Linked DNA regions of Rattus norvegicus. The protein of the gene in region 1 interacts with the protein of each later gene in a pairwise test. Links are inferred from orthologs where the notes say so. Each region holds a gene or a part of one and is shown in the gene's direction. Other genes may lie near its edges. The genes, in order: Cass4, Zyx and Cdc42ep2.

Region 1 (5,201 bases):
TTAAACAACTCATGGAAAGGGAAGGTTGGTTCACTGTTTCAGAGTTCACCCTCTGGAAACTGTGGTGCGTCTCAGAGAGAGCACTGGTGGGAGAAGACGCCTGCTCTGTGGAGGCGAGGGGGGCAAAGAAAAAGAAGACAGGGTTGGAGTCCCAGTATCCCCTCAAGCTCATGGCGCTGGTGTCCCTGGTGGTTCGACTTCCTTCCCCTAGGCCTTACCTCACAAATGTTTCGTTACCTTCTAACAGCAGCACAGGCTAAGGACTAGGCCCTCAACATTGAGGAACAATCCGAGTTCGAACTGTGGCGTTTGACCAAAAGTCAGGTGCAGGATCCTCATAACCAACTCTGCTGCACTAGAAGTAAAATCCCTCCTAGCCCTGGGATTCAGGACTAGGGCAGCAGGTTAGGGATGGCTCTGTTGGCAACTGTTTGTCTAACAGGCATGAGGACGTGGGTTTGTGCTGCGACCGGTTCCCGCATATCACCGCTCCACGCTGGCCCCCTGGTACTCTTGGACCCGGGCAGTCTCTCCCTGGAGTTAGTTCTGGCACCGTAGGGCCATATAGAACTCACATTAATTTATCTCAGCGGTGGCTGGTTTCAGTGTGGCACCATGTCACGTTAGCCTAGCTGTCTTCTAACCCCAGCGGTCTCTCCATTGCTAGTCATTCTGGCCAGCCCTGGCCAGCCGGGAACTCTCCGGTTCCAGTCGCCCGCCCGGTAAAATCAAGACTCAACAAACTGCAACCCAACCATCAGATTTACGTGTTAAATTCTCAATCCACAAAACATCCACAGAATAAACTCACTGCCAATTAATAGAGATAGAAACCGACCACCTAGACAAGATAAAACTGACCTAGACCACCTGGATCGGGATCATCTTCCTCCATCTTGACTCATCTCGATGCTCTTCCTCTCTTCCTCCTCCTCCCCTCCTCTTCCTCTTCTTCTTCCTCCTCCTCCTCTTCCTCCTCCTTTCCTCCTCCTCCTCTTCCTCCTCCTCTTCTTCCTCCTCCTCTTCCTCCTCTTCCTCCTCCTCCTCTTCTTCCTCCTCCTCTTCCTCCTCTTCCTCCTCCTCTTCCTCCTCCTCTTCTTCCTCCTCCTCTTCCCCCTTCTCTTCCTCCTCCTTCTCTTCCTCTTCCTCCTTCTCCTCCTCTTCCTCCTTCTGTCTCCTTCCTAGACTTTTCCCCGCCTACCCTTCCTTCTCATCCAATGATAGGCTGGATCCGCCTTGCTGCATAATGACATCATCCTACAGGACTGGATCCCCTGTGCTCACATTTTTAAAAGTGGATCTGGGGAGTTGGCTAAGAGCATCGCTGCTCTTCCTGAGGTCCCAAGTTCCCAGAATCCACATGGCTGCTCACAGCCATCTGTAACTCCAGTGCGGGGGGAATCTGATGGTCTCGTCTAGCCTCTATGAATAGCAGACACACGCATGGTACACACACATGCAGTCAAGCTACGTGGCGGCTTGCATGTGTCATTTAACTTCCCCGTGACTGCATTCTTACCACAGATGTTCTGGAGTTTTCCATGGGATGATTTGTGTAATACACAGAGGAATAGCTCAGTGGGTGGTGTAGAATGCCTTCCTGTTAGAGATCTCACGGGCAGGCATGAACTCACGCCCTTGCCTTTTTGTAGAGGGGCATCATTTGAGGGTCCTCGTGAGCATTTTTAACCACGTGTCCCACGGGTGCGCTCCTATCCCAGTTTGTGGGATCAGGGGGAGTCGTCCGGTTTTGATGCATTTTGACAATAACTCCAGTGATGTGCAGAAGTTTGTTAGATGTGAAAGAAAAGGTTAAAAGGCCCAGTGGAAGCATAGGGACATGTGGAGGCAATGCAGGGGCACGAGTGGGTTTTCCCAATGAGAGGAAGAAAAGCAGCTCCTTTGCTATGACAAAACACCATGACCATGGTAACTTGTAAAATACAGAAGCCCGGGGCTGGGGATTTAGCTCAGTGGTAGAGCTTACCTTGGAAGCGCAAGGCCCTGGGTTCGGTCCCCAGCTCCGAAAAAAAAGAACCAAAAAAAATAAAAAAAAAAAATACAGAAGCCCACTGGGGTTGCAGTTCCAGATGGTTTGGCATAGCGAACGCGTGACGGCATGGTGGCAGGAACAGTTGAAAGCTTACATCTTGAGCCATAGGCAGGAAGGAGTAGGAGGAGGGGGGCAGCACATAGGGGATGGTGGGAGAAAGTTTACCTTTGTGGCCCATTGCCTCCAACAAGGCCACGTCTAGTCCTCCCAGACAGTTTGGCCAACTGGAAACCAAGCATGCAAACATAGAGGCCGTGGGAGCTATTCTCATTCAAACCACCATGAATGTGCCCAAAATGATGGCTGCCGTGGAAGGGCAGAGAAAGGAGGTTCAGCAGAGGGTGAAGCCAGACTGGGAGAGCCCTTGAGTGACAAGAGCAATGGGGGGAATCACTGAAGAGACCTAAGCAAAACAGAGGCAGTCAGATGTTTAGAACCTGTCAGATTCTGATTGTTACTAACCCGGGGCAACTTTGTATGTGTTTTTTTTTTTCTCCCCAGGGTCCGGGTGTTACATTGGCACCCACAACGGCCTTCAGACAAGGTGGTGGCTATAACCCATTATCCAGCCCTCAGAAATCAGATTGGATTCATGACACTCCAGTGTCGCTGGGAAAGGCTGATGTCAGAAATGCATCTATGACCAGCTTCACCAAAGAGTCATGCTCCAACACCATCCCAGGCTCCTCTGTTGTCCGCATTGGAGCTGTGACCCTCTCCCCACAGCTGGGGAACGCCGTGCAGAAGAAAAGCAGCCCCCCGGAAGAAACTTCGTATGCCTTTCTGACCCCCAGGGGGGACTCACTTCCTTCTGATGCAGGCAGCAGCTACAAGGTCCCTTCCAGGTTTCTCATTCCCAGAGTGGAGCGACAGAACACCAAACCTAACATTTATGACACCCCTAAAGCCATGCAGGGTGTGTTTCAGAATACTTCAAAAGCCACACAAGGGGTGTCTCTGGCAGGAAAGGAGCTGGAGAGAGGCAGAGAGGCTCCAGAGAATTCCCCCTGGGTCTCCAGACAGACAAATTTCCTGTCTCCCGACTCGGATCGATTATCTGTTGCCAGCTCAGACAGCAGGGCTAGTGTGGTATCTTCATGCTCCTCCCTATCCACGGACTCCTCCCCTGGCTCCTCCTCAGAGGACTCCGTGAAGGAGCTGTGGATGGACTTGGACTTTGCAAAAGAGACAGCGGTGGCTCTGCAAAGCAGAGTGGCCAGCTCAGTGGCGGGCCTGCTGCTCTTTGTAAGCAGGACCTGGAGGTTCAAAGACTCCTTGGAAACCAACGTCAACAGAATCCGAGGGGCCGCTGACCGCGTAGAGGAATCCTTGAGAGAATTTCTGGATTTTGCCCAAGGTGTTGGTGGGTTGGCCTGCAATCTCACAGACAGCTACCTTCAGGCTAGAGTTAGAGATCAGCTCCAGACGATCTCTAGCTCCTACCAGACGCTGCTGGATGCTAAGGGGACCCTGGACCGCTGCAATTGGTCGCTGGAAGTTCTCGTGGTGGACAAAGCCCAAAGCAGTGTGGATGACCTGGAGAGGTTTGTGCAGGTTGCGCGGGTAGTTCCGGAGGACGTGAAGAGGTTCACCTCCATCGTCGTTGCCAACGGGAAGCTCCTTTTTAAACAGAACTGTGAGAGAGGAGAGGTGGACTGGAGGTGTGAAAGATGCATCCAGCCTCCCCAAAGAGAAGCTGAGTCCCACCCAGAGCGCAGCAGCCCCTTCCACAAACAGCCAGCAGCTGAGCACTCCCTTGAGCTGGCGAAGAAAAGCAGAGGGGATGTCTGTGGGCAGGTAAGTCAGGGAGACAAACAGTACACAAGGACTTCATCTGTTACGGGAAATGATCATCACTGAGGGGAGATGCTGGCGCCGTGTGCGTGTAGAAATGTACACTTGCACATGCGCGTGGAAGCCAGAGGACAAGCCTGGGTATTGCTCCTCAGTGTCTCTCACTGGGCTGGAAGAGGTTGACTAGGTTAGGCTGGATGGATGGCAGCACCTAGGGGTCTGTCTTCCTCTGCGGCCCAGCACTGGAGAGACGGGCTTGTGCCACCACACCCAACCTTTTCCCATGGGTTCCAGTGGTTGAGCCCAGGTCCACTACTTGCAAAGCTCTTTAGTGACTGAACTATGTCCTGGTTCTTTTTGAGTATGTGTGTACATCTAGTGTGTGGTGTGTGGTGGGCAGTGTCTGCCTCTGCCGTTCTCCGTCTTTTTTTATTGTTGTTGTTTGGGCTTTGTTTGTTTGCTTGCTTGCTTTCGAGACAGGGCTTCACTAGGTAGTTCCTGTCCTAGAACTCAACATGTATATCGGGCTGGCCTGGAGCCCACAGAGATAAAACTGTTTCTGCCTCTGCCTCCCATGCCTCTCATGTCTCTCCCTCCCCCTCTCTCTCTCCCTCCCCCTCTCCCCACCCCCACTCCTACCTGCCCCCGGAGGCTGGGTTTAGATGCCTGTGCCACCGTGACTGGCACCACTATCTTTTTACTCTTTCTTTTGAGTTGCCCGGGCAAGGCTTTGAACTAGGGTTCTTACTGCCTTAGCCTTAGGGTTTAGCACCATGACCAAAAGCAAATTGTGGGGGAAAGGGTTTATTTATTTGGCTCACACTGCCACGTCGCTGGAGGAAGTTAGGACAGGAGCTCAAGCAGAGAAGGACCCTGGAGGCAGGAGCCGATGCAGAGGCCATGGAGGGTGCTACTCACCGGCTCACTCCGCATGGCTTGCTCAGCCTGCTTTCTTATAGCACTTAGTACCGAGAGAGGAGGCACCCGCACACAGCGGGCAGGGCCCTCCCTCACCAAAGCCAATAAATGCATCGGTAGGCAGAATCGTGAACAAAATCTCACATCTCAGAGTAAACTTTTAAAGTGGGGCACAGTGGTCATGCTATAACCTCTGTACTCAGGAAGCTGAGGAAGAAGGTGGGGAGTTTCAGGCCAATCTAGGCTACAGGGTAAGATCTTGGTGGGGTTTGGGGGTGAGCACAAAAACCACCAACCATAAAAGTGAAACAAAAAAAGCGAACTTAGGCAGCCATTGTAATTTGAAACCTATTTAAATTAGTAATTTGAGATTTAATTTTTTTTCAGAAGTCACCTAACCTACAAAAGAAAGGAAAGAACACCATGGAAGGAAAGT
Region 2 (5,959 bases), on another chromosome or scaffold:
GCTTTGAATGTCACACTTGGTACCATATACCTTTGGGGGGAGGGGCTTCATAGCTCATAGTTAGTGGATATAAAGCCCGGGAAGTGTGTAGGATATTTTAGTAGCCAAGGTCAGTGGTCATTTTCTGGTTCCTTCTCTCTGGTTTACTATATGCCTGAAATGGAGACATTGACTGACTTCCTACACATCACTCATATTACCCAAGAACATCACATAGGAAAAACCATGGAGAATCATTAGGGTAGTTTCTGCTTGCTGTCTGCATTGACTATCACCTCCGCCCGAGACATCCTGGGACAGTCATTCTGACCCTTTCGGAGATTCTGTTTTGTTTTTAATTTGTATTTAGAGTGACTGGCTTAAAACTCCTAGCTCTAATATTTTGCATCTTAAATGCTCTTAGTTGTCTGTGAAATGGAGTCTGCCTACACACTCTCCTATTCTTGATTTATAAATAGGTTCAGCTGCCAACAATTACACATACTCTATTTTTCGATGCTCCTTAAAGAGGTTTTTAGAGGGTAGGTGGCTTTTACTCTTATAAACTTATCTGGAAACTCCACTTCCCCAACACGGGCATATTTGGAAGGATGCTGACGACTCGGTCTGAGAAGCCCAAGAAACAATCTCTAACACGCAGAATAAATCCAGTGTCAAATTTCTAACAGATCTTCATAGGAACAGGCCTAGGACCAGCTCGTGCATGTTAGGATGTGTATACCTGAGCACTTTTGTGTCATACATGGTCACACATGCAACGCAAAACACTGGTGATGGAAACATTAAGATGACGGAGAAAAGTGTGGGGCCTGGAACGATGATGAATGCACAGTCATAGATATGACTCAAGACATAAGGTTGACGGAAGGAAAAGGGCATTGAATCAACCAAGACACATTAAACTTGTCTGGCAAACTGGAAGGGAGCATGTGAGGGAAAGCTGCCTAGGTTAACTGGCTGGAAATTTCCGTTCTTTTCCAGCTTGGGACTTGCATGGAGGTAATTCTGTGAACTATATAGAATTTTCAGACATGGCATGCTGTTTATTCCTTCACATAAGGAAGCAGGCAAATGAATTAGATGCCATCCCTTTTACAGTCGAGGCAATGAAACCGAATGAAGAAACGTGTCCGTTGGGTTGGAAACTGGGCTCCCTGGCCTCACTCTGTACTGCATCTCTGCCAAAGGGGTTAATTAACTCGGACCTAAGTGCGCCCCCGGGGCCATCTTTTCAAATAACATACCCAGTTTCTCATCCTAAGTTCCTGGGGTTAGTTTGCATGCCCCTAAAGCACAGTTCAAGGTTTCTGGACCGTAGGGTGCAATAGATGGGGAGCGCCAAGGTTTGGAAACTCAGAAGACAGTGAGAACCTCAGCCAGGGATGACGGTAAAACCAAAGGAAGCACCGGAGGGTTGGATATTGGACTAGAGACTCTAACGCGTAACTCTATAATTTGGACGAAGTTTCCGTGTATAATTTTACAAAAAGAAAAGAAAAAGAAAAAAAAGAAGGGAAGGAAAAGAAAAGGAAGATTAAGACAGTAAGAAAAGCAGACATCAGCTTTGTCAGACTTCTTTCATGTAGCCTGGGGCACAGTCTCAGGCTGAGGAATCCGGTTGGACCAGTGGGGGGCTCCACCGAGCTTTGTCCTGGGGGCCGCTGACAACCCAAATACTCTTGAGGGGCTGGGAAAGGCTTGAAGAGATCCTCAAGGACTGGTCCCCGGAGGCTATTTGGGTCTTTCTAGGTTGTTAGACCGCTCACCCTGACTTCGCCCTTGTACCTTCATTCCTGGACTCAAAGCACTGGACACTCTCCCCGGGGCAACAAATTTGCAGGCGGGTCTAGCTCTAAGCGAATTCCTAGAAGCCTTAAGAGGCAGTTTAGCTCAGGAAGTTAGCATTCCCCTAGAGCGCTTAGGCTCCTACTCACACACTACTGCGTTACAGAAGGCCGGCCTAGGAGCCGGGTGCCAGCAGAGCGAACGTCCCCTCACCATCCCCGCCCACCCACGAGTAGGGTCCCATCTCAGTCCTACGTTCCGGGACTGACCACAGGACACGTGGGACGCGGAGCTGAAGCTGCAGGGAGGGGCGGGGTCAGTCAATGGCAGGCAGGCCCGGGAAGCGGGACTGAGCAGCTTCGGGACCTCTGGGATACTCGCCGGCCTGCACAGCCCCGGAGTGCGGACGGTGAGTCAGTTCTCCAGCACTCGCGGGTCGGGAGGGGGGAGGGGGGTAGGTGGCAGGTCAGGAAATGACATCAGAGGCCTGTGCTGGGGAAGGGTGGTCTGTGCCCGGCGGGGGCGGTGATGCGTAGGGAGGCCGCAGGCGGACCTTTGCAGAGCCTGCGGCCCAGGGCAGGACCCGGGCCCCTTCCTGGGGGAGTTTCCTGCCCGGCCCTCCCTCCCCGGCCTCTCCCCGCCCCCTCTCCGGGCCGCTCCTTGTATGGTCTGGGCGCCGCTCTCTCCCCGCCCCCTCCCTCCCTTCCCTTGCGCGTCGTCCCTCCCCGCTTGGCTAGAAGCTGCTCCGGACCGGGACGCAGAGTCCGTGGACTCGGCGCCGAGGCGGTCATCCGAGACGCGGCTCTCACGCTCCTGCCCGCGGTGAGGCGCGGGGAGAAGCTCCGCAGTCCCGGGAAGGGGACGCGGGGAGGCGAGGGTGGGGTCACCGAGGGGCTCTTGGACCGAGGAGTGTCAGCCCGGCACCGCTCTGCGTAACCTGACGACCCACCCCCAGCAGCCCGGCCTGACTATGGCGGCCCCCCGCCCGCCTCCCGCGATCTCCGTCTCGGTCTCGGCCCCCGCGTTTTACGCCCCGCAGAAGAAGTTCGCCCCGGTTGTGGCCCCGAAGCCCAAAGTGAATCCTTTCCGGCCTGGGGACAGCGAGTCTCCTGTGGCAGCCGGGGCCCAGAGAGCACAGATGGGCCGGGTGGGCGAGATCCCCCCACCGCCCCCGGAAGGTATGCGGCTGGGATTGGGGGCCCCGATTCTTCTCGGGCGCCAGGTTGGGGGTCGGTGGTTTGGGGAATTTGGGGTTGTCTGGAAAGGCTGTTGTGGAGGGGGCTGGGCTCTGGGTGGCTACCCTGTCCTGAGCAGATGTTCTTACCTCATCTTGGAGCTCCTGGCTAGGAGCCAGAACCCTTGGGACTGTTCCAAGACTCCCGCCTGGGGGTAGGAGGCGGGAATGTGGGCCAGGAATCTTCCCCTCTGGATCCGTTCTCTGAAGTGTAACGGGAGCTGCACGGTTCTTCAACCTAGCCCGTTCTCACTCGACCTGCTTCGCCCAGGGCATCCTGAGCCCCTGTTATGGTCTGCACACGCTCTTGGGATGCAGAAAAAGAGTTCTTGGATTAGGGGGTTAAAACAGTAGGCTGAGAGAAGGAACGAGGGCCGGTACTGATAGCCTTCTCTCTCCTTCCTACCCAGACTTTCCTTTGCCCCCTCCTCCCGTTATTGGGGAGGGCGACGACTCAGAGGGGGCCCTGGGAGGTGCCTTCCCACCTCCACCTCCCCCGTTGATCGAAGAACCATTCCCCCCTGCTCCTCTGGAGGAGGACATCTTCCCCTCCCCTCCACCTCCACTGGAGGAGGAGGGAGGACCTGAGGCCCCTACCCAGCTCCCACCGCAGGTAGGGAGGGCTTGGAGGGCAGCTTTGCTGGAGATGGGGTGGGGGACGCCTCCATGAGCTGGAGAGGAGTCTTTAACTCTCTCCCGATGGGAGTGGGACGACAAGGGAAGACTGGGATGGGTGCTCTGACCCCTGACCCTCCAGCCCAGGGAGAAAGTGAGCAGTATTGACCTGGAGATCGACTCTCTGTCCTCACTGCTGGATGACATGACCAAGAACGATCCCTTCAAAGCCCGGGTAAGGGGCAGGACAGTAGGAAAGTCTGGGCCTAGAAGGAGAGGAGGGGATACAGGAAGAGATGTCCACCTCCTCTAAGTACATCCCCCCCCTTCTGCTTCTCCTTGCAGGTGTCATCTGGATATGTACCTCCACCAGTTGCTACTCCATTTGTTCCCAAACCTAGTACCAAGCCTGCCCCTGTGGGCACAGCACCCTTACCTCCTTGGAAGGCCCCTTCTAGCTCTCAGCCACCACCTCAGCCGCAGGCCAAGCCTCAGGTCCAGCTCCATGCCCAGCCTCAGGCCAAGCCCCATGTCCAACCCCAGTCTGTGTCTTCCGCTAATACACAGCCCCGAGGTCCCCTTTCTCAGGCTCCAACTCCAGCACCTAAGTTTGCTCCAGTGGCACCTAAATTTACTCCCGTGGCTTCCAAATTCAGCCCTGGTGCTCCAAGTGGACCTGGGCCACAGCCCAGTCAAAAATCGGTGCCTCTGGAAGCTCCTTCTTCTGTGGGCACAGGCTCCCCCCAGCCCCCTAGCTTCACCTATGCTCAGCAGAAGGAGAAGCCCCTAGTTCAAGAGAAGCAGCACCCACTGCCTCCACCAGCTCAAAACCAAAACCAGGTGAGGAAGCCACAGGCTGAGGCCAGGGGCTGGATGAAATAGGACTGCAGAAAAAAGAGGGCAAGAGGGTGAGGGTGGGGTAGAGAACTAGAGGAGCCAGAGTGGGTGTGGTGATGGGGGAAGTGTAGGGTTATCTGTCCTGGCAGAGAGAAAGTTCTTCTGGAGGAAGTCTGGGACTAGCTGGGGCCTGGGTCAATCGGTACAGCAGCTGGGGTTTAGAAGTAAGAGGATACAACGTTTCCCCTGTGCCTCTGCCCTAGAATGTTAGAGAGGAGAATGAGATCATTAGCCCAACCTTAGTTTTTCCCATTCTTGGGCCTTGACTAAATCCCTAGGCTCCTGGGTTTTCTGAGCACTTCATTGCCTGAGGGCCCATCTAGAGATAAAAGTATAGTCAGCACCAGGAAACACTTGCTGGGCCAGCATCAGCTGAGTGCCAGGCACTGCTCTGTGCTCTGGAGGCTGGGTCTATGGGCTGGAGAGATCTCTCCAACAGGTTCAGTCTTCTGAAGTCACAGGTTCAGGGTAGAATTTCTAGCCTGTTTCTCACAAGTTGTTAGACCCTAGTAAAATTGGGTGAACTTTGAACACACACACACACACACACACACACACACACACACACACACACACACACCACACACCCGTCTTTGAAATAGCTACCCATACCAAACAACGGTGAAGTGCAAGTCAGCTTATCTTCTTAGTCTAGCACATAAGAGCTCAAAATAGAAACAGACAGTACAGTTGTTGCCTGTTAGTTCAGAGAAAGAGATCTTCTGAGTTGAAGGGACTTTCTGGGTATCTGACTGGTAACTGTAAACGTCTGGATGTACTCAGACACAGTGTAGGAATAAGTGTAGCTGGATTCTGATAGCTCAGAATCTGAGTTACAGGGATTTGAAACTATGACCCAGCATGGGGGCTGGCAACTTAGGAACAGCTTCACGAGGTTGGTCTGCCTTCAGGTACTTGAGGACTTGAGAATCCAGAAGGGATTGAGAAGAGGATTAGGTGGATAGAGCTTGTGGAGAATTCCAGGGTACGGATAACACAGGAGGGCTATTTGGAGAACAGAAAGCACAAGGCTCCTAGCAGACAGACTTTGAGCTGTGCTTGAGATGGGTGGAGATTTGTGGCAGAAGCACTAGAGAACAAAATCTCCAGTAGGGAGCTTGTGCGCATTGGAGAATCACTGATGGTGTCTCAGTTGTGTGTGGTTTGGCCAGGAGGACTGGTGAAAAGTAATACTGCAAAGCTTTTCCAGCCGAGGTGCATATTAGAGGTAGGGAGATCTGGGATGCAGGTGAGTTCACTCCTGGGCCACAGTAGTATTAGTTGCAGTGAGAAATAAGATCCATGGATGAGAGCTGTTCCAATGGAAGGGCCTACAGGAGGCTGCAACTGAGAGCAGCTGGGGTGGGCGAACACAAATGCCAGGGAGGCTCAGAGCTGGGTATGTTGAGGAGTAACAATATTACTGAC
Region 3 (5,981 bases), on another chromosome or scaffold:
TCTTTCATCTCTAAGAATAGCACTCTGGTATCTTCCTGACCTGCCCTTCCCTTCATTTTACAAAAATGACGTGTTTATTGATGTGTGTACAGGTTGGCAGAAAGCCTGTGGGAATTGGTTCTCTCTTCCGCCATGTGGGTTCTGCAGCTCAAACCCAGGCCATCAGGCTTGGGGATAACGTGTTTGGTTTACCAAGCGCTTATGGAGCAAGCACAAAGCCCTGGGTTCTGTCCTGAGCACTGAATAAACAGCATGTGATGATGTCTGTCTGTAATCCTGGCACTCAGAGGGTGAGCCGAACCCTTTCACTGTGCCCCTCTTTCCTTTTTCTCTTTTGACACTGGGTCTCACTATGTTGTAGCCCTGCCTGGCCTAGAACTCACACTGTACACCGGGCTGGCAGTGCCTTTGCCTCCCCAGCCTCCCCAGCCTCCCCAGCTCTCTAGCACAGGGTCACCAGCTCCCTGTCAGGTGGCTTCTGCTGCTTCTCTCATTCTCTTGCTGCTTTATTTGTAAGGGCCTTTGTAATTAATTTTGGCCCGTTCTTTATTCCTTTTCTTTCTTTAAAAAAAAATTACACTGAAAGCAGAGGCAGGTTAATCTTTGTGAGTTCAAGGCCAGGCAAGGCTACATAGTGAGTTCCAGGTCAACCAAGGCTATACAGAGAGACCTGCCTCAAGAAACAAATGACACTGACCTTTGTGGAGGTGGGGGGCGTGTGTGTGTCATGGAGCACACAGAGATCAGAGAAAAACATTTAAACATTGGTTCCTTCCCCCCTCCACCATGTAGGCCCAGAAATGAAACTGAGGTCGTGCGGCTTGGCCGCAAGCACCCTGACCTGATGAGTCTTCACTCAGAATGTCTTCTTTTACTTTAGGGCTTGAATTTACTATACAGCTGAGGAGAATAATTTTGAAATCCTCATCCCCCGCCTCCACCCTCTGAGTGCTGGGATTACAGATATTGGCCATCACATGCCTAAACTAGGACAATCTCTGTGTTAAGTCATCTGAGCGGGACACGTGGCTCACATCGATGGTCCCAGCTCTTGGGGAGGTGGAGGAAACTAGACTTCTTGAGCCCAGGAGTTCAAATCAATCATAATTCCTAGTAATTGAAATTCCCTTTTCCCACATGACAAAATGGTCCCAGAGGTTAAAACGTGGAGTTCTTGATCTAGTGGTGCATGTGTGTAAGTGTAAGAGTATGTGAATGTATGCATGTGTGTGTGTGTGTGTGTGTGTGTGTGTGTGTGTGTGTGTGTGTGGTGTCCGTACATGTGCGACTGGGGATTAAACAGAAGGACTGACATACAGGGGAACTCACTGAGCTCCTCTGAGCTGTACTCCCTGGCCCAGAGATGGTCGTCTTAGGGAAGAATGACTCAGTCCTTCCCATTCTCCCCACCTTTCTGGCTTGCCTGACATACTCCCCAACCCTAGCTTCCCTTCCTCCTATACATATACCCTTTTCACATCTGCTCTCTGGAAGCCAAGCATCCTGATGTCTCTCCTCCCAGAATTGTCCGCCTCTTCTTTTGCCTCACTCCTCTTAGCACTTATCCACTTGGAAGGGTACCAGCCTGTGCCTGGAACCTCGAATTTCTTCAGTCCAGACCCTTCAGCTTCCCTAATCACAAACATTCAACTAATTTACTCACAAAACGGAGCAATGAGAAGTTTCCTTCGGTTTATCTCGGACCTGCCCTTCAATAACTGTTTCTGATCCTGTCCTAAACTGCCCACCTCAGAAACCACCTAGCGGGACAGCAAACTCAGGCAAGCTCAGGCTGAGTCTCTGTTTTTCTCTGCGCCTCCCGACCCGGAATCTTTCTCACACCCTTCATCACTCTCTCTCCTAGGTTAGGGTAAACTCTTCAAAAACGCTCCTAAGTTTGTAAGGCCCCTGCAAAGCCCAATTCATTCTTGTAGAGTCACAGTGCAGGCACCTCCCGGGTCCCAGTCCTTCCGTCAAGGAAACTCATCCAAGGATGCTCAGAGATTTCTCAAGAATTCTTTCTTCCGGCCTTCGTTGGCCCAATGCTTCTAGCCTAAAGTTTTTATTCCAAACGAACAGCTGGCGTCCTCGTGTGTATCCACCCTTGTTACCCCTCGGTGATCGCTCTCAGCGGTCTGAGGCTGAGGCTCTGGACTCTTGGAATCCGGCTCTGAGCCTCTGCAGAAAGGCGAGAACCTGGGCGGTGCCGCGGTGGGCGGGGATGTGTGGGTGGGGGATTCGAGAGGAGCAGCCCGGGATTGGCTCCTGGTACTGGGGGCGTGGCTTAGGCCCAAGGTCTGCACTGTAAGTTCCCAGGCCCTCCGTGGTCCTCTATCCTAGCCGCACAGCTCTGCTGCTTTGCCCGCGCTCCTCAAGGTGAGTTCGGACTGGGGTTTTGCGGGCCTCCTGTAGCTCCCTAGAGAGTGCTAGTCAGGAGGTACTCTGTTCTGGCCGAGATCAGGTCCATTACCTGGAGTCTGGGTTCCCGCCCCCCTACCCATGACCTCCAGCAGAGCTCAAGGCGCTGCGCTGTCAGTCTCGCAGCTTCTAGCTGCTTGTCTTTGCCAGTCGGAGACCGGGGACCTGGGAACATCCTCTCTTCCGCCCGTGTCCCGGCCTGGGCTGAAGGCCATATTTTTAGCGGATAGTGAGGTTAGGGTTAGGGTTAGGTGTCCTCCTATCTTTAGCTGCAGTATTACTGAAATGGATCTGGGCCGCGCTGGGCAGCGTTTGACTGGGGACCTGGAGGGGTCGGCGCGGGAACAGGAGCCAGGGCTGAGCAGCCGGACTCCCGGGAGGGCGGGGGCCTGCACGTCCGAAGTCTGGCCGTGCGCCAAACAGACATTGAGACTTAGCCCAGGCGGAGAAGCTCAGGCAAGGCCCCTCCCAGATATCGGGAATCTTGGGGGCAAGGTCCTCGATAATTGCAATTCTACCCTCACTGTGGTCCGATATGCAACCCAGAGAAAAAGGCCTATGGGCGATCCACCTCGGGTACTGGAGCACGCAGTTCCTCGGTGGGCGTCTGCCTGGAACGGGGTATGCTCCTTGGGACCCTAGAACGCCGCGTTATAGCAGGGGCGCGCGCGCCACCTAGCGACTTTGGACTACAGAGAGACCGCTACAGGAGAGCCAGATTCTGAGCTGGCTCTGTCAGGGCTGACAAGAGGAGATCCACGCCTGGGAGGTGAGAAGGGTTTGGTTTTTATTCTTTTTTTTTTTTAAAGATTTATTTATTATATATAAGTACACTGTAGCTGTCTTCAGATACACCAGAAGAGGGCACCAGACCTGATTATAGATGGCTGTGAGCCACCATGTGGTTGCTGGGAACTGAACTCAGGACCTCTGGAAGAGCAGTGGGGAGCTCTTAACCGCTGAGCCATCTCTCCAGCCCCTGGTTTTTATTCTTGTTGAAGCCACTACTTGAGGAAAGCCCTGCAGATATTTGCTGAATGTCCTTTGACAGTGACTATAGATTCATCTGTTGTGCAGAGGCCTCTTGTTTCCAGTATAGCAATGGGTCAGCTTATTTTAAAGATAGAGGTGAGTCCAGTCCCAAAGAGGAAAGGTTCATTACCTAAGGACACAGAGTCCCAGGTGGAACTAGATTTCAAACCATTCCTCTTGGGCTGGCAAGATGTCTCAGCGGAAGCCTCTTGCTGAGCAAGCTTGGAGATGAGTTCCCATCAAAGGTGGACTCCACAAAGTCTTCTTCTGACTTCCACACACATTCCGTATTACATACACAATTGCGAGTGTGTGTGCACTCACACACATATCATGATACACTCATACAATAATAAAAACTTAGTTTTTTTTCTTTTTTTGTTTTTGTTTCTAGAAGTAGACAGATCTCTAAGTTTAACTGGTCTGGTCTACACTACAAATTGAGTTCCAGGATTCCAGGACAGCCAGGGCTACACAGAGAAACCCTGTCTTGAAAAACCAAAACCTAATAAATCTTTTTTTAAAGGGGGGGGGTGCTGGAGAGATGGCTCAGCGAATAAGAGCACTGACTGCTCTTCCAGAGGTCCTGACTTTAAATCCCAGCAACCACATGGTGGCTCACAACCATCTATAATGGGATTCGGTGCCCTCTTCTGGTGTGTCTGAAGATAGCTATAGTGTATGTGTATATAATGAATAAATAAATCTTTTTTTTTTTTTTTTGGTTCTTTTTTTCGGAGCTGGGGACCAAACCCAGGGCCTTGCGCTTCCTAGGTAAGCGCTCTACCACTGAGCTAAATCCCCAGCCCCAATAAATCTTTTTTTTAAAAGAAAAAACAAAACCATAAAACTTTTCAGTAAACCTTTAGAGAAGAGGCAAACGTCACACCTAGAGCTGGGCATGGTGGCACACTTTCTTTTTGTTTTGTTTTTTTGTTTGTTTTTGTTTTTGAAACTTGAATGTTTGACAGGGTCTCACTGTCCTGGTACTCACAATGCAAACCAAGCTGGCCTTAAACTCATAGAGATCTGCCTGCCTCTGTCTCCCAAAAGCACTCATCACCATGCCTGGCTGGGTGGTACACTTTTAATCCCAGTACTTGGTTGGTGGAAGAAGGTGTGAGTTTTAGGACAGCCCGGTCTACACTGTAAGATCCTGTATTTAAAAAAAAAAAAAGTGTGTGGGAGCCCATTAATTTTGAAGTGTCTATGTAGAGAGGGGGATTTTCATGAACATCCAGAGTAAGTAGGGGCTAAACATTCTCCATGACCAGAGGTGAGCTGCCCCTAGGAAGTCATTTTCTCTGAGGGAGGCGGGGCTTGTCCAGAGTGACCCATACAACTGGGATGCTTTCATCTCTGCCTTCCAGTGGTGGAGGAAGCTCCTCCTGGCAGCCTTGCCCTAATCAGAGCTCCTTTTAGCACAGCACAATTGCAAGCTGGGGAAGTGGCAGCCAGGAGATCTGACTATATGGAGGAAGCCTGGAGACATGATAGCTTCTCTCCTGTCCCCCATTCCTATCACCATAGGTATGGTCCCTTGCCTTGGAACCACATGGACTGGCCTTGGTACCAGAGTTTTCCCTTGCTAGTTTGATGACCTTGGTAAAGTTCCTTAATATCTCTGCGGTTCCGCTCCAACAGCTATCCACGGCAGTAGTGGCACCCACCACAACGTGCCTTATAGCGTTAACATGTAAGAACTCCATGGCAGGCTGGAGTCCCGGGTCCCGAGGTGGCCAGATCTTCTATTTTGCTTGTTGTTATTCCCAGCTTTCTCCTGGGTGGTTGATATTGGCCCCACCCTTCCCTTTAGCCTCTGTTCTCCTCACATCTGGATTTGGGCGGGAACATCTGGCTCAGAGTGGGACAGCTGTCAGGGACACCCAGTTTGCTGTGGAAAAACCCTAGCTGTCTTGTCAATCTAGTGTGATGGAGTGAGGGTGGGGAAGGCCCAGGCCCAGGCTCTCACCAGTCATCCCGACTCTCCCTCAGTGGAAAGGAAGGGAGAGTCACCCAGTGCCTCACACCAGCAAATAGAACAGACTAAGATATTGTCAGCAGGCCTCTAGTTTGCTGTGGTGGCAACAAGATCCTAAGACTTGGGGCTGGGGATTTAGCTCAGTGGTAGAGCGCTTGCCTAGCAAGCGCAAGGCCCTGGGTTCGGTCCCCAGCTCCGAAAAAAAAAAGATCCTAAGACTTAGGATGTGTCTTCCCTAGACTTAGGTGGAATCTACCTCTAGAAAGTCATTCCTTTGTTTCCTGCTGGCTGCAGGTGCTCTGGGGGTTGGAGGTGTCCAGCTTCTATGGCTCAACATGACTGGCCTGGGACGTCCGGCCTTGGGGCGGAGTTTCCTGAGCAAGGTCTAATTCAGGGATGAAGACAGGACTCTGCCCTGCCCTGCATACTGCCACCTTCTTCCTGCTCACCCTTAGCCTAGGCAGAAGAAATGGTAAATGCCTCTTTTGCTCAGGTTGGAGGAGGATGGGCTCCTCTGGCTTCAATCCTGGCCCTGCCCCTAGCTGCTATG

The links.
Region 2: the proteins of Cass4 (region 1) and Zyx interact in binary tests that used the Homo sapiens proteins (3 or more experiments, as listed by UniProt). The link is inferred for Rattus norvegicus from reciprocal best matches to the Homo sapiens genes CASS4 and ZYX.
Region 3: the proteins of Cass4 (region 1) and Cdc42ep2 interact in binary tests that used the Homo sapiens proteins (3 or more experiments, as listed by UniProt). The link is inferred for Rattus norvegicus from reciprocal best matches to the Homo sapiens genes CASS4 and CDC42EP2.

The regions. Positions count from the first base shown.
Region 1 is NC_086021.1:181,611,788-181,616,988, forward strand, and holds part of Cass4 (cas scaffolding protein family member 4), read left to right. Parts: intron 1-2,554; coding exon 2,555-3,850; intron 3,851-5,152; coding exon 5,153-5,201. UniProt on the Homo sapiens protein: Docking protein that plays a role in tyrosine kinase-based signaling related to cell adhesion and cell spreading. Regulates PTK2/FAK1 activity, focal adhesion integrity, and cell spreading.
Region 2 is NC_086022.1:72,201,893-72,207,851, forward strand, and holds the start of Zyx (zyxin), read left to right. Parts: upstream 1-2,607; intron 2,608-2,740; exon of another isoform or gene 2,741-2,743; coding exon of another isoform or gene 2,744-2,755; coding exon 2,756-2,963; intron 2,964-3,429; coding exon 3,430-3,632; intron 3,633-3,776; coding exon 3,777-3,869; intron 3,870-3,979; coding exon 3,980-4,474; intron 4,475-5,959. UniProt on the Homo sapiens protein: Adhesion plaque protein. Binds alpha-actinin and the CRP protein. Important for targeting TES and ENA/VASP family members to focal adhesions and for the formation of actin-rich structures.
Region 3 is NC_086019.1:212,636,518-212,642,498, reverse strand, and holds the start of Cdc42ep2 (cdc42 effector protein 2), read left to right. Parts: upstream 1-2,350; 5' UTR 2,351-2,376; intron 2,377-2,964; exon of another isoform or gene 2,965-3,187; intron 3,188-5,725; exon of another isoform or gene 5,726-5,903; intron 5,904-5,981. UniProt on the Homo sapiens protein: Probably involved in the organization of the actin cytoskeleton. May act downstream of CDC42 to induce actin filament assembly leading to cell shape changes. Induces pseudopodia formation in fibroblasts in a CDC42-dependent manner.